3 linked regions of the Nothobranchius furzeri genome follow. The protein of the gene in region 1 purifies or fractionates together with the protein of each later gene. This does not show direct contact. Links are inferred from orthologs where the notes say so. Each region holds a gene or a part of one and is shown in the gene's direction. Other genes may lie near its edges.

Region 1 (4,500 bases):
GTGTGTGTGTGTGTGTGTGTGTGTGTGTGTGTGTGTGTGTGTGTGTGTGTGTGTGTGTGTGTGTGTGTGTGTTAGCGGCTCCGCCCTCTCGGTTTGATAAGCAACAGCATTTGTTGCATTTTTCAAACAGGAAGTGGGAGTGAGGTAAGTTTCTTGTAGGGGTGACTTGCTCTTTAAGGTCAGGAACTTGTTCGGGCAGTCCGATGATGTTGCAGAATATGATTTAAATGTACTTTTACGTTCACTAATAACCTCTGCATAATAAATATTCTAAATTAACTTTATTTAGGTGTCTGACTTTAACACTGAGCAGTGCACAAACAATTAGTTAAATTCAGAGTTTAAAAACTGATTCAGCTTCTGATGTTCTGCATTTTAGTGTGAAAATAAGGTGGAAAATGTCTCTATCAGCCTTGAAGATCACCAGTACATGTCAGTTACTGGCTGACCATGTCTCCTACATATCTGCTTCGGTGCTGGCAACACAATATCGGTCTACCTCTAGTGTGAATTATCACTAATGTAAGGTTTTCATTAAGTAATTACATTTCATTTGTTTAACACCATCCATAGAAAAAATGCAGATAAAAAAGGTAATCTTGTTCTGTAATTACTTGATTTGTAAGACTTTCTCTATCTTCCAGACTGTTAAGTTGTTGCACTTTTTGTTAAAAAGTACCTGATCATGTAAAGTCCACAAACAATAATTATAAAATTAACCAGTGAAGGTATGACATATTATTAAAGGAATCATGTGTTGTTGTTTAGAGAAAATAAAAGCATGAATAATAATAATAATAATAATAATAATGTTTTGACACCAGCCTTTCAAATTTGAACTTTTTAAAAATAGAAATAATTTTCAGAGACTTGACCAAACAGCTGAGATTCTTGTTATTACTAATTCTAATAATGACCAAGCTTTTGATGTCTGACATGGTTAAATATGACAGACTGTTTAATTCAGATGAACTTGACTGTAGTTTCAGTGCTTAAACCATTCAAAGTTGATCATCTGTTATCTAACTGGCGTGCAATGAGCTCTACTGCAGCAGACAGAAAAAAACAAGGCAGTGGTTGTTTTTGTTTATCTTTCTGATGTGTTGACATTAAACGGATGCTGATGTCAGCAAACATCGTTTGTTTGCTTGTTTTTTCTGTTTCTAGTTAAAAGGGAACTGGAGGCTGAGGCGGCCGCAGTGGCTGAAAAAGCAAAAGCAGCATCAGCCGAGGTCTGGGCTGGCTCTAGCGACACAACTTTTCCATTTTATTTAACTCCATAAATGACTGGATGAATTTATGTTCAGGGATCCGGAGTTCCAGTGAAAGATTTTGCCTGCCTCTCCGTGTCGGGTGTTTATTTCACCTGTCCTCTCACTGGAGCCACGCTAACGAAAAGTCAGAGGGAGGTGCACCTTAAGGAGGCCATTTTCATGGTACGTCTGTTGGAGCATGGCTTTATTTTTTATCAACATAATAATGAGATTAAAGCTAATCCTGCTGGTTTTGTTGGTGAAATAATCTCTGTTTCTACCATCAGCGCTTTGAGGAGGATGCAGTGGAGGCTTCTGTTATGATGATCCACACGTTTAACAAAGACAGAGACAAAGTGAAGACTGCTGTGGACATTATTAGCAAGTAAGTCGGTTATAGCAGGGTTTGGTGCGGTGTGGGTCATCATGGACCAGCTTTTCAGGCGAGCGTTTCTATCGCAGTTTGGGCTCTCATGTTGGCAGGCAGGGTTAAACGAACCGTCATACGCAATTAAAAAAAAAGTTGTGCAGCTATTCTGTATTTTTGTGCTGCAATAAATGGTCTGCTGAGCTAAAGACAGAAATAAATGCTTACCAACAGACTCCACAAGTAACTTCAGTGTGTGTTTCTCCCATTTCCACCCTGAAAAAAAAATCCACTCCGGCTTTTTCTGTCCTAACCTTTCTACACGGGGCTTACATTTCTTCAGCTTGGCCCCGTTCCGACGTCCGCTGGAATCCTTCGGCTGCCATCCACTGAGAAACAAAACGTATTACAATCCTTACCGATCCTTCTAGCTCAGGGGTGTCACACTCGCACGGGGCCGAGATGAAACTCTGGGACGGAGTCGAGGGCCAAACTTCATATTTTTTTGAAAAAGTGACGGCAAATTTGCACATTTTCTTTATCAACATATATGCAATTTTGAACCTTTAAATTTGGAAACAAACATATTTCTGCATTAACACTGAATGTGGAATAACCAAATTACACACGAGCAAGTCAGTTTTAAATAAAACGCATCAGTGGTATTTATTACTTGTGGTATAATCAGCATTTTATAAATCTATTCAGGATTTATGTTTTCTTGTTTATTCATTTTTCTTATTTTTTATTCTCCCTTTTTCCTCCTGTAATACGTGTCATCGCTGCTGTGACGTCTAGCTTTCCCCACTGAGGAACAATAAAGGGATTTTCTATTCTATTCATCTATCTGCAGCCTTTCCACTTCCTGTTTACTGTAGGTTAAATCTTTTCTCACGGGCCAACAACAAAATAAAAATATCATTTTATCTTAAATGAAAATGCAACATCTCACCTGTTAACTTTCATGTTTTGGAGCAGAAAAAGAGCATAAAGCCAACATCGGACTGACAAAAACTAGAACAGTTCTTGTATGTGAAGCCATATCTGTTTGTATTAATGTGGAGTTCGTCTGTATATTTCCTTCGTTGTTATCTAAATACTTTCTTTGACTCAAAATATTGCTTGGTGTCTTTCAATAAAGTTCTTATATGTAATTTTGCCCCATTTCTTCAACATCAAGAGCTTTTGAGGGTCACCGTTTATCATTTGCTTATATTTAACATTTCCTCTAGAAATTTAAACATATTTTCTCCAAAAAGGGTTGATTTTTGGACTACAGGGCTACAACCGCAAATTTGTTCTGACCAATCAAAATCAAAACGTGATAACGTCACTTCCTTAAGCTTCATGTTCAGCCAATCAACTACTTTGATGTCATCGGCAGTCGAAGGACCCCGAGCCGATCCTGCACCCGAGCCGATCCTGTACTGACACCGGCAGCAGACGCTGGAAAAAACACAAAGGAGGGGGCGGTTCGGCTCTGCGCTAATGCCGCAAAGCATCATGGGAGTTGTAGTCTTTGCTGTAAAATCGCCCTAAAAGGTAGCGCGCCGATCCTCCCCGTTGTGTGCCAAAACGGTCGAGGGAAATGAGGCTTTAGGACGGGTATTAGGCTTTTACCTCAACATCTTTATAATATTTTCAGCTGCTTTTATATTTTACTTAGATTTTTTTAATTGTTTGATGACAGGTATGTTGAGAACATCTGTAAAAACCCCACAGAGGAGAAATACAGGAAGATTAAAGTCAGTAACAAGGTGTTTCAGGTGAGTTTGAGACCAGCTTCCTGTGCCCCGTGTTTCTTTCCTGTCTGGCTCTGGGCTGATCGTTTAGGAAAGGCTGTACATCAGACAGTGTTGTATATTTAATATGATTCCTCGTTTTGTTTTAGGAGAAAGTGCTTCCTGTTGAAGGCAGTCGAGAGTTTCTGCAGGCTTTGGGTTTCATCAGTGTTATGCTTCCTGTGGAGGGCCAAGGTAAAGGAGTGGTCCTTTTGTTTTTTTATAAATTTGTCTGAGAGAGATCGGTGTTATTACGTGCACTTGCTTTTTTCACTTTCACTGGCGATCAGAGGAGGACGAGGAGTTCCTGGTGTTACCAGAGCAGAGCCCCGATGCCCTGGAGCTGATGAAGGAGAGAAGAGATCGTCTTCAGAAAGGACAACCGGTCAGAGCTCAGCTGGACCGGCAGCCTCAGGCGTTCAGACCATCTCCTAACGCTCAGAAATTCGAGCTGCCGTCGGAGTTCTACAATCTGACAGCAGAGGAGCTGAAGAGGGAACAACAGCTCAGGTACCGGGTTAGATACACAAATCCACCTCAGGCTGCTTCTAGCCGTCAGTCAGAGCGGGTACTGAACACACCTGTGCAGCGCCAGGCTAAAGACCAGAGGCGACAGATCATTTGCTGCTGTGGCCCCCAGACTCTTGAACTCTCTCCCCCTGAGCCTGAGATCAGTGGACTCAGTGGTCTCCTTTAAAACGCAGCAGAAACCTCACTTGTTCAGGCTGGTTTTGGTGTGACCTTCATGACCCTCTCATTGTTCTGCTCTCCCCACCTATTCCACCTTCCTCAGGATCCACTCATTTCCCTCTTATCTATTCACTCTCTTTCTTTTCATTTTTAATCGCAATTGTCTATTTTTTTGCTCATTTAAAATATATTGTTAACAATTTTCTAAATAATTTTTGATATTTTTACATTATTTGTTTTTGTGAAGCGCCTCGTGATTTTTATCTTGAGAGGCGCTATAGAAAAGATCTCTTCTTTTTCTACCTTTATGTGTTTCCCAGGAGCGAGCTGGTAGAGAAGAACAGCATGCTTCGCACCAAAGCCATGAGGGAAAAGGAGGAACAGAGAGAGAGGAGAAAATACAACTACA
Region 2 (5,136 bases), on another chromosome or scaffold:
AGTCTCAGTTCCAACTGTGAAGAGAAGACTTGGAGCTGTAGGTTTGACAGGACGAGTTGCAGCAAGAAAGCCACAGCTAAGTCGTCAGAATAAGAGAAAGAGGCTTGCCTGGGCCATGAAACACCGCCATTGGACTCCTGAAGACTGGAAGGAGGTATGATGGACTGATGAATCCAAATTTTAAATCTTCAGTTCGTCACACAGGTTCTTTGTACGCTGTCGAGTAGGTGAGAGGATGGTTCCACAGTGTGTGGCATCAACTGTCAAACATGGAGGAGGAAGTGTGATGGTCTGGGGCTGTTTTGCTGGATCCAGGGTCAGTGACTAATACAGAGGGTGAGGCATGCTGAACCAAAACGGCTACCACAGCATTCTCCAGCACCACGCAGTCCCCTCTGGTATGCACCTAGTTGGTCAGGGGTTCATTCTACAGCAAGATAATGGCCCAAAACACAAGTCCAAGCGACGCCAGAACTACCTCAGGTCTCCAGACTTAAACCCCATGGAGCTGGTTTGGGATGTACTGGACTGAAGAGTGAACGCAAAGCAACCTACAAGTGCCACACATTAATGGGAACTTCTGCAACAGATATGGAAGAACTTTCTGAAGAACGATTGATTTCTGTTGTAGAAAGAATGCCACGAGTGTGTTCAGCTGTTATGTCTGCCAAAGGTGGCTACTGTGATGAGTCAAACGTTTAGAACACATTTTGGTCTATAAATGGATTCCATGATTTCTTTTTAACTCCAATTGCTTATTTGTACCATGCTTTCATTTCAGAATGCAATGTGACTTTAAACTGCATCGTTTCCAATAAAAAACTGGGAAAAATTGGGGCGTTCTAAAACTTCTGACTGGTAGTGTGTTTCAAATGTTTGTTTCTTTAATGTTGATGATTATAACTGACAACTACTGAAAATCCCTAATTCAGTATCTCAGAAAATCAGGATATCTACTAAGAGCAATGTTAGAAATGTTGGCCAGCTGAGAAGTATGAGCAGGTAAATGTGAAGGGTACCTTCAGCCTGGATTGCTGCAGCTATGCGGTGTGACATGGAGTCCATCAGTCTGTGGCGCTGTTGCTCTGATGGTGGCCTTCAGCTCTTCTGAACTGTCTGGTCTGGCGTGTTGCATCTTCTTCACAACACCCCACAGATTTTCTACGGGGTTAAAGGTGTAGTGTGTACATTTGAATAGTTAAATAACTTTAAAAATCCTTAAGTTTGACTCTTTGACCCAGTTTTAGGAGAAAATACAAATAGTCTTGCTTATTTAATTTTTCTCTTAAGCCCCTCCCCCCTACAGCTAAGCGAATCATTTCTGAGAGCCCACCGCCTTGGCCAATAGCGCTGTTTTTCCACCAGGGGGAGCTTTCAGTCAACGAGTACGAGCCAGCGTGCCCAATGGTGTCACGCGCCTCAGTCAACTCGACACCGCAACAGACCAAGACGTACGGGTAGTTTCCGGGACTGCCTTAACGTCTAAAACAAATTTTAAAGTTGTTTTTTCTACCACATCTTGTCCTTCCTTCACCTCTGTTCATGTGTTTGGACACAGCTCCGTGAACAGCCAGCCTCTTTACCTTTAGTGTTTTCCGTCCTTGTGCAAGTGTCACGGGTCGTCGTTGGGACAAGTGTCTAGTCAGCAGTCATCCCCATGACTGCAGCCTGCAGAGCTAGACCCAGGCCATTTAAAGGCTCTGCAGGGTTAATCAGCTGACTGGAGTGCAACACCAGGGGTCTTCAGTATTGAAGCTTTTCACATTATTCTAATTATCTGAGATACTGAATTAGGTATTTTCATTAGTTGGTCAGTTATAATCATCAACATTAAAGAAATAAACATTTGGAATACATCAGTCTGTGTGTGATGAATTAATCTAATGTGCAAGTTTCACTTTTTGAATAGAATTACTGACATAAATAAACTTTGTCATGAAGATGTTCTCATTTTAGGACCAGCACCTGTCCTTCATTTTAAATGTGAATTTTGACTCTGTCGCATAATCTGAGATTAATCAGGATGTAACAGTTGGTAAAGTATTGTGACTACCAATCAGTCGTGTCATCTATGACGTCACACCACAACCTCCTTATCTCCAGCGTAGCTGCTACTGGCCACATGACTGGATTTCTGGTGTTTTTCTCCACATTTGATGCTCCTCCTGTTGTCCTGGAAGGACGTGTGAAGCTCGCTAAACTAAACTTCTCTTCTCCGTGTCTGGTTTGATGATGTTACTTTACTGAGACAAACGTTTGGAGTCTCCTGTTGTGGACAATCAGCACTTTCTAAGCATCAAAATGTGTCTTTAAAGTTCACGGACGTCACATCTTACCCCATGGCACACCTCAAGACCAACTCCCCCCTGTGGGTTTCAGCTGTAGGTTTAGGGTCTCAAAGTAGATGGGCGTGGCTTAGGCTCCCTTTTTTAAAGCTGATACCGTCTGTGGATTTTCAGGAACGATGGGATATAAGAGGGAAAACAATAAGAAAACAAGTCGTTTTTACTGCAGAATTCCTGGGTTTTACCCTTCAAACAGCCCAGAAAAAGGTCCGACAAGCTGGAAGAAGAATCGTGCTTTCAGAGGCTTTGATTGAATTAACAGTAAAAGAGAAACAAACTTGTTTTCCTCCTGAGACCATCCGAGTTTCCATGTAGACGTAAAACCTAAGCAGAGCAGGTTTCTGCTCTTTTAAGGATTTCATGGCTGAGAATAGATGCTTTTCTGTGGAAATGAGCTTCCTCACATCAGGAGAAGCCTTAACGAATAATTCAGTTTTCCTGAATCCTTTTATTTTCTGTTTGACAAATCCTAATAAAATCCTGAAAGGATCCCAGAAATCCCATAAACACTCATTTCTCTGGTCAGTGAGCTGTTTTGGATGTGATGGTGTTGCTGCTTTTGTCATTTCTAGACTTTTTGTAGTTTTCTCGTGTAGAAGGAATGTTTTGTTTTTGTTCCTGCTCTGTTGGGCTGACAGACGCCCGTCGTCCATCCGGCCGCTCTGCTGCCTGTCTGTCTTCTCACCTCCTAATTGTCCGCTTGATGAAACATCTGCCCGTGACTGGTCCATTACAGCCATTAAGTCTCTGGTGGAGGAATGCGATGCTTCGGGGGCGAAAGTGTTTTCTCTAACCATTTGATTGGTGCTTATTTTGTGGTCTTCTTCAAAGAACCTGTGGTTACTGGTTCAAATCCCTGAGCAGTGAATCATCCCCAGAAACGCGCTGGATTGGTCTTCAGCTGCTGGTTTACGTGTAGCAAGATGTTTGTTTGTTGTTATTGTTTGTTTGGAGGCTCCTGTTTACCCCTCTCTGTCTGCAGGCCGACTTGTTTCCTGGTGCTCTGGTGTACTTCGGCTCCGACATCAAGACAGGTTCTTGTCCGTTTCTTTATTTTCTGTCTGATCTGACGTAAAAAGACGTGAATCTGTGGAAAGTAATAAAAACAACCGTAGTTTTTCTGCTCCACAGATTTTTACATCAAGAAGGAGCTGCTGGAAACGTCTGTGTCGGCCTCCCAGGCAAACCAGTCCATAAAAAGGTGTGTGTGCGTGCGTGCACGCGTGCGTGCGTGCCTGCCTGTGTGTTTATTTATGTACTTGTATCCCGCGGCAACCAGCCTATTTTCCTGTCACAAAGCTGTCATCAGTGGAATCCCTTTGAGGTTCTGCCTAACAGCAGGTGCCCCCCTGCGCCCTCATTTCCTCCACACACACACACACATTCTCAAACACACACACCATGCATCAGGCTCTAAAAATAGAGCCCATGCGTGACCCGTAACTGTTGGCCTTTTGCATCATTTGCAAGGTTGTTTTTCCACCTCAGCGTTAGGTTTTTACCTCCTAATCTGGACCTCCTTTTATCCACAAACATCCATCAGCAAAACACCAACTCTCCTCCTTCGTCACGGTTTTTATCTTTATGTGTTCTTTCTCATGTCTCCTTACATCAGCTGCATGCTCCATTCTCCAGAAGCTTCCTGCAGCTCTGCAGGTGTTGTAGAAGCGGCGTCTCTTCCTGACCCCAAAGGGTCCAAACAGGAAGACCCAGGCCCATCAGCACACCCGCAGGCTGCTAAACCGGTCAGATCAGACCCAGGCAAAGTGCCCAAGTGGCTCAAGCTGCCAGGTGAGGACAGAAAGTCCCATGTGGACACACTCACAACATTAACACAAATGAATTTAATATCTGCACTTTTGTTTAACAAACTAAACTCTAGAAAACTCATCTTTGTTGGTTTTTGCGCCGACCCTAGAGTCCAGCATCTGCAACATGAAGCCCTGATGTGCCGGTTTGTGAATGAGAACACGTTCTCAAGCTAAAGTAAAGCCGCTCATGTTTCCAGAGACAAACACCAACATACCACGAGTTAAAACAAAGGACTGGTGGAAAGCACAGGTCACCACTGTAGTTATGGTACAGAAATCCTTAGCCCTGCCCCCAGGTGGTAGAAACATGCTACTGCATGCAGAATGTACATAAACTTTTAGTTTCTTAGTTTTTTTAGTTGTTTTCACAAACATTCAGTATGCTTATTTATTGACTTTTAACTTCTTTGAATCCATTTTTGCAATTTCAAATCAAACCACTTCTGGCCTTAAACCCTCCAGACGGAGCAACAGGATTAGTACCTTCATCAGAACCCTGCCCTATCCACTCCTACACATGTCTACTGCCCCCTGGTGGCACGGGCACATTTTATTCTTACTGTTAGTGTTGCAGAATGACATAATAAATGTAGATTCATTGTTATTTCAATTTTCAGGCTTTACATGGAGTTTATTCTGATTTCATCTCATCAGTTCTAGCACCTCAGCAGCGTTCTGAAAGAACCATGGAAATGGAGCAAAAAGGCGTTGAGAATCAAATAAATAACTGAAAAGTCTGCACACTTTTTTCAGGATCGGTTCAAATTTGGACAACAGGAACAGAAAATTGTTTTTTAAAGTGGTATCTTGCCCCTATTTGCCGTTTCATTTATGAGCAATAAAAAACAGCTCATTTGTGGTTTACAACATAACTTTTATTTATTTTTGGCAAGTGATCTGACATGTCAAAATGGATGAAATCCCACCATCTCCAACTCAACCTCTCTAAAACTGAACTACTTGTGTCATCCCAGCAAAAC
Region 3 (5,136 bases), on another chromosome or scaffold:
TCCCACCCTCACCACGCCCACTTACTGCCATAAATAGTCAATGCAAAGTGCCTTGTGGATCTCATGCATTTACATAAGCCGGCTGTTGCAGCGCTCCGCCAATGACATGGCGACCGTAGATCAAGGCAGATCAAGGAAGCGCAATTTCACAGAAGCAGAAATTCAGGTACTTGTGGGTGAGGTGGAGAAATGAAAGGAAGTGCTTTTGCAAAACAAATAAGAGAAAATCCACGGAGTGGCACAGGGTTGCTGAAGCCGTCAATGTTGTGAATTCTTCAGAGAGATCTGTGGCGGGGATAAAAAAAAATGGTCCGATCGGGATTGATCCCCAGACTCCCGGGTGAAAGTCACACGCGCTAACTAGTCACCCAAACGGAGATCTCCCTTGTGCAAGAAGCCAGGGCGCATGATCAATCGGGTCACAGTGACAGGACACACACACACTGTCACAGACGTATGACATTCTGTCTCAATCTGTCCCCCTGCTGATATTCTGTATTCCGTATTCTGCTCTTCAGGCTGTGTGTGTGTGTGCGTGTGGGGGGTCTTGTTCTGTGTGAAAACGAAGCAGTACAAGTGATAATGCTGCAGGATTTCATAATTTTATCCTTCTCAGCAGCAGCACTGTAGGTGCGCTCCATGTCCAACACGTGCGTAAGCCAGGTCCTCAGTCAACTTAAAGTTGTGCACATTTTTCCACTAAGTTTTCTTTCATAAATCCCAAAGTTTGCATGGAAAGTTGCTTACGCAGTTTTCCGACCCCGTTTTGTGCGTAAGCAAGCTTGATAAATGAGGCCCCTGGTCTTTACATGCATCTTTGTAGACAGGAGGCATGATTTTTACGGTGGTGTTTTGTGACCAATGCAGAAGTAATTTGTCAGAATATCCAGGTTTCAGAACCGAGACCAGACCAGCTTCAGAGGAAGGAGAAATGCCTGATGATGCAAGTGGGCTGCTTTCTCCTGGATGCAGGAAAAATCTCTACCTGGCCCAATTGAAACTGAGACAGGAAAATGCATGAATGCAGCCAAAAACGGGTTTGGGGTATTTCTCAAAAGAACCTTTAAAGAACGTTTATAAGAAAAGCTAATTTTTCATCAGTGGAGTTTTTCTTTTAATGTGGCTGCGGATGACCCAGTTTTCCTTCTTGTTGTAATTCCTTATTTTAGTCCTTGATTATTCAGTTAAATTTTTTCTTCTGCAGGCATGGAGACATGTTGTTTCTGTTCCCCTCTGCTTCTTCCGCCTCTTCTGGGGAGGTTATGGACACAGCCACCACACACACATCTTCATCTGTCACCTCCGTCTCATCCACTTCTTCATCTTCCTCCTCATCCTCCTTGATCCCTCGGTCCACTTCAGCACCCCAGGTCCAAGAGGATGAGATCGATCAGTATCTGACCAAGCAAGATGGCAAGATCTACAGGAACAGAGACCCTCAGCTGTAAGAACAAGACCAGCTCCTCACAACCAAGGAACATGCAGATACAGAAAATTCACTGGCGTTCTCTTTGTTTTAGATGTCGTCATGGCTCCCTTGGAAAATGTGTGCACTGTGTACCGTTAGAGGTAACTACTCTTATTCTTCATGGTTGAAATTTTAACACCATCCGCCCTAAATGGTTTGCTCCCCCCAGCCCTTTGATGAAGACTACCTGAATCACCTCGACCCACCAGTGAAGCACATGTCATTTCACGCGTACCTTCGCAAGCTGACCGGTGGAGCTGATAAGTGAGGGGTTTGTTTTGAATTCATCCACCTGATTCGCTCCTGATTTCTGTCAGATTCTGACTTGGTTCTGATCTCCTGCAGAGGGAAGTTTGCAGCTTTAGAGAACATTAGCTGTAAGATAAAGTCGGGCTGTGAGGGTCATCCTCCCTGGCCTGAGGGGATCTGTACTAAGTGTCAGCCAAGTGCCATCACTCTCAACAGACAGGTACGACCCCATTTGGGCGAAAAGATTCTGTTAATTCTATTTGGTGAAGATCATTACTGAGTACTAATCCTGGTTGTTTATGTTGGCATCTATATTAATCTGATACTTTGATTTTCAAACGTTAATAAATCTCTCAGCTGACTTGGTGGGCTGAAAGTGTGTGTGCGTGCGTGCGTACATGTGTAATCCTAAATGGCTGTTTTCTGTTCCTAGAAATACAGACATGTGGACAACATCATGTTTGAGAACCACACTACTGCCGACCGCTTCCTGGACTTCTGGAGGAAAACGGGCAGCCAGAGGATGGGCTACTTGTACGGTCGGTACACCGAACACACAGACATCCCTCTGGGCATTAGAGCGGAGGTAGCTGCCATCTATGAGCCCCCACAGGTGAGACGGTCCTGCTGAACATGTGTCTGCTCAAGTTATTTACTCAGCCATGTCTTCTGATCAGTTTTTAAATGTGCTTTTCTGGTCTGGTTGGTGTTTCAGAGTGCTACCCAGAACAGCCTGGAACTGCTGGAGGATCCCAAGGCTGCAGCTGTAGATGAAATCGCTGCCAAGCTGGGCCTCTGCAAGGTTGGTTCCTCACTTACTGGGTGTTCGGTTGGGTTATTTGAGGGATTTCATGCCTTGCTGGTTTGTTTACAAGTTAATGCCATTCTTCAAACACATTCTCTTCATTTAAACAAACATACTGAACCACAGATATGCAGGAAATAAGGGACTTCTTATTATGTATTATAAAAGGTTTGTGTTCAATGTTTAAACTTTGGGGAAAGCAGTTTTCAGGCAGCTGCTCTTACACACCAGGAGACGTAAAAAACTTTATTCAGACTTTTCATCCACAGTATACATATTTCACTAATTACCCTCTGGAGCAGCCAACTTAAGGTTAGAGAAAAGTATTTGAGTAATTTCACCTTAAACAGTTGGACTCTTTAATATTTTTTTATGATTATATGCTTTTTATATAGAATCTTACTGTAGCAAATAGTTGAAATAGTTGAAATTTGATGTGTTGTTTCTACAATTTTTCTCTAATTTTGTATAATCTCTGCACAAATCTTTAGTTGGTCTAATCCAAGTTGTTCTTGTGATGTAGGTGGGCTGGATCTTCACTGACCTGCTGTCTGAGGATATGAGGATAGGTACTGTCCGCTACACAAGAAACAAGGTGAGAATGCACTCTGTTGGCCAGACTAAACCTGCTTTCCTCCATCTGACATAAATACCTTCATCCAACCGTCAGGACTCACACTACCTGAGTGCAGAGGAGTGCATCACGGCTGGATTCTTCCAGAACCAACATTCAAACTCCTGCAGACTCTCTCGAGACGGATACTTCGGGTCCAAGTTTGTGACCGTTGTTGCAACAGGTAATTCAGTTTAACCGCTGTCCTCGGACATACCGGACCAACTTTGTCCTCCAAACACTAAAGCCTGATTTATGCTTCTCCGTCTGCGTCAGTGCGGAGACACGCAACGCCATTATCCGTCCTTGCGTAGGGCACGCAAGTACGTACGGAGTAGAGCCCACTTTTTTAAGCATCCGTCGAACGAGATGGATTACGCAAGCTTGTGATTGGTCAGGACGCCGCTGTTATTTACAGCGCCGCCATTGCAAAGAGAGCCGAGGATAACTAGCGGCAGACACGGGGAAGCTTGAAGAATATCTCGCGAAAAAACTCTAAAAATATGAACGTTTAATTCTCCCGTGACTGGAGGAGTGAAAAGATGCGCAGCAAGCATTTTATTTGTGGACGGAAATGACAGGAAACGTGGGTTTAGAGGTGGGGAGCGCATGAAGCGGTGGGAGAATGAGAGACAAATATGTCCGTGTTAAAAGTCTCTTATATACACAAAACACACAATATAAACACACGATCTTGGACCGATACATGACAGGATACCACAGAACAGCGCTACGCCCTCTGTTGTCCTGCCGGGGAATTGCTTTGCAACACTCCAGGAGACGGAGAAGTATGAGAGCAAAACGCTTCCGTCAGTCCGTGCGTGTCTGTCCCTTGCGGAGCTGACGGAGAAGCATAAACCAGGCTCAACACATGAACCGTCCCATGAGCCTTTGCACCACTGATTCAAACATTGCCCTCATTTAAAGGGATCAGAGCTGTTGTTACCAGTGTGAAAATTAAGTGTTTATTATGCCCCATCTTTGGCCGATGGGAGAATGTGGATGGAGCCCAAAGTCATCAGTGACCTCATCAGTTGTATTTGTGTGAAAGAACAGCTGTCGGCCAAAGCTCACATCGTGGTTGCACATCTCTCGACTGCCAGGATGAAATCCATCTCCTTAACTTTCCCTTGTGTGTGTGTTTTCATATGAGTAATGTTGGTAAGGCTCTGGATGTTCCAGTAATGTCGAAGCATTTAGTGGAACTTATGTGTTTCTTCTCTTGTCCGGTAGACTTTGTTTTAATTTGTCGGTATGAAGTAAAACAGACATGTTTCAGTTCTAGAGCTGCTGCTTCTTCCCTCATCATCACTGCTTTTACACTTTACATTTGTACGACTGTTCCTCGTGAAGGTGGTCCAGATAACCAGGTGCACTTTGAAGGATACCAGGTATCCAACCAGTGCATGGCTCTGGTACGGGATGAGTGCCTGCTGCCCTGTAAAGATGCCCCGGAGCTGGGCTACGCCAAGGAGTCGAGCCCTGAGCAGTACGTACCAGATGTCTTCTACAAGGTGAGACTTTCCTCCGATGAAACACTACTCTTCTAAAAACTAAACACAGCCTCTGGTTGGATTTATCAGAAAAAGTGACTCACCTGTTCTTTGTGGCAACGTTGTTGATTTCAGGTGGTTAGTTTGGGGTCTGTTTATATGTGAATGTTTTATTCAACAGGACAAAGACAAATTTGGAAATGACGTGACGTTTCTAGCTCGACCTCTTCCTGTAGAGTATCTTATCATAGATGTGAGTCTGATGTCTTCATTTTCTGTTTCACACTTGTTGGATTTATTCTCTGTTAAAGTCTCTGCTTGTGCAGGCATAGTTTTTGGATCTGATTTTGCTCTTTTATACGCGTTTCCTCCCAGATAACCACAACCTTTCCAAAGGACCCTCAGTACACCTTCACCTCCACTCAACGCTTCCCCATCGAAAACCGAGATATTCTTGGAGAGACGCAAGTAAGCACTCTTCAGTTTAAACGCAGGTTTCCAGATTTAG

Evidence for each region. The genes of interacting proteins can lie anywhere in the genome.
Region 2: the proteins of ubxn6 (region 1) and aspscr1 purify together in Homo sapiens (affinity purification with mass spectrometry; 4 studies listed by BioGRID and IntAct, counting the BioPlex papers as one, with this or other methods). This does not show direct contact. The link is inferred for Nothobranchius furzeri from reciprocal best matches to the Homo sapiens genes UBXN6 and ASPSCR1.
Region 3: the proteins of ubxn6 (region 1) and nploc4 purify together in Homo sapiens (affinity purification with western blotting; 3 studies listed by BioGRID and IntAct, with this or other methods). This does not show direct contact. The link is inferred for Nothobranchius furzeri from reciprocal best matches to the Homo sapiens genes UBXN6 and NPLOC4.

Annotation. Positions count from the first base shown.
Region 1 is NC_091748.1:48,270,719-48,275,218, forward strand, and holds part of ubxn6 (UBX domain-containing protein 6), read left to right. Parts: intron 1-1,167; coding exon 1,168-1,232; intron 1,233-1,307; coding exon 1,308-1,436; intron 1,437-1,540; coding exon 1,541-1,638; intron 1,639-3,310; coding exon 3,311-3,386; intron 3,387-3,511; coding exon 3,512-3,596; intron 3,597-3,691; coding exon 3,692-3,911; intron 3,912-4,411; coding exon 4,412-4,500. UniProt on the Homo sapiens protein: May negatively regulate the ATPase activity of VCP, an ATP-driven segregase that associates with different cofactors to control a wide variety of cellular processes.
Region 2 is NC_091746.1:22,799,493-22,804,628, reverse strand, and holds part of aspscr1 (tether containing UBX domain for GLUT4), read left to right. Parts: intron 1-3,327; coding exon 3,328-3,379; intron 3,380-3,476; coding exon 3,477-3,546; intron 3,547-3,960; coding exon 3,961-4,136; intron 4,137-5,136. UniProt on the Homo sapiens protein: Tethering protein that sequesters GLUT4-containing vesicles in the cytoplasm in the absence of insulin. Modulates the amount of GLUT4 that is available at the cell surface. Enhances VCP methylation catalyzed by VCPKMT.
Region 3 is NC_091756.1:53,426,793-53,431,928, reverse strand, and holds part of nploc4 (nuclear protein localization protein 4 homolog), read left to right. Parts: intron 1-1,204; coding exon 1,205-1,444; intron 1,445-1,520; coding exon 1,521-1,569; intron 1,570-1,637; coding exon 1,638-1,732; intron 1,733-1,813; coding exon 1,814-1,937; intron 1,938-2,150; coding exon 2,151-2,330; intron 2,331-2,432; coding exon 2,433-2,519; intron 2,520-3,045; coding exon 3,046-3,117; intron 3,118-3,192; coding exon 3,193-3,319; intron 3,320-4,488; coding exon 4,489-4,649; intron 4,650-4,809; coding exon 4,810-4,881; intron 4,882-5,003; coding exon 5,004-5,096; intron 5,097-5,136. UniProt on the Homo sapiens protein: The ternary complex containing UFD1, VCP and NPLOC4 binds ubiquitinated proteins and is necessary for the export of misfolded proteins from the ER to the cytoplasm, where they are degraded by the proteasome.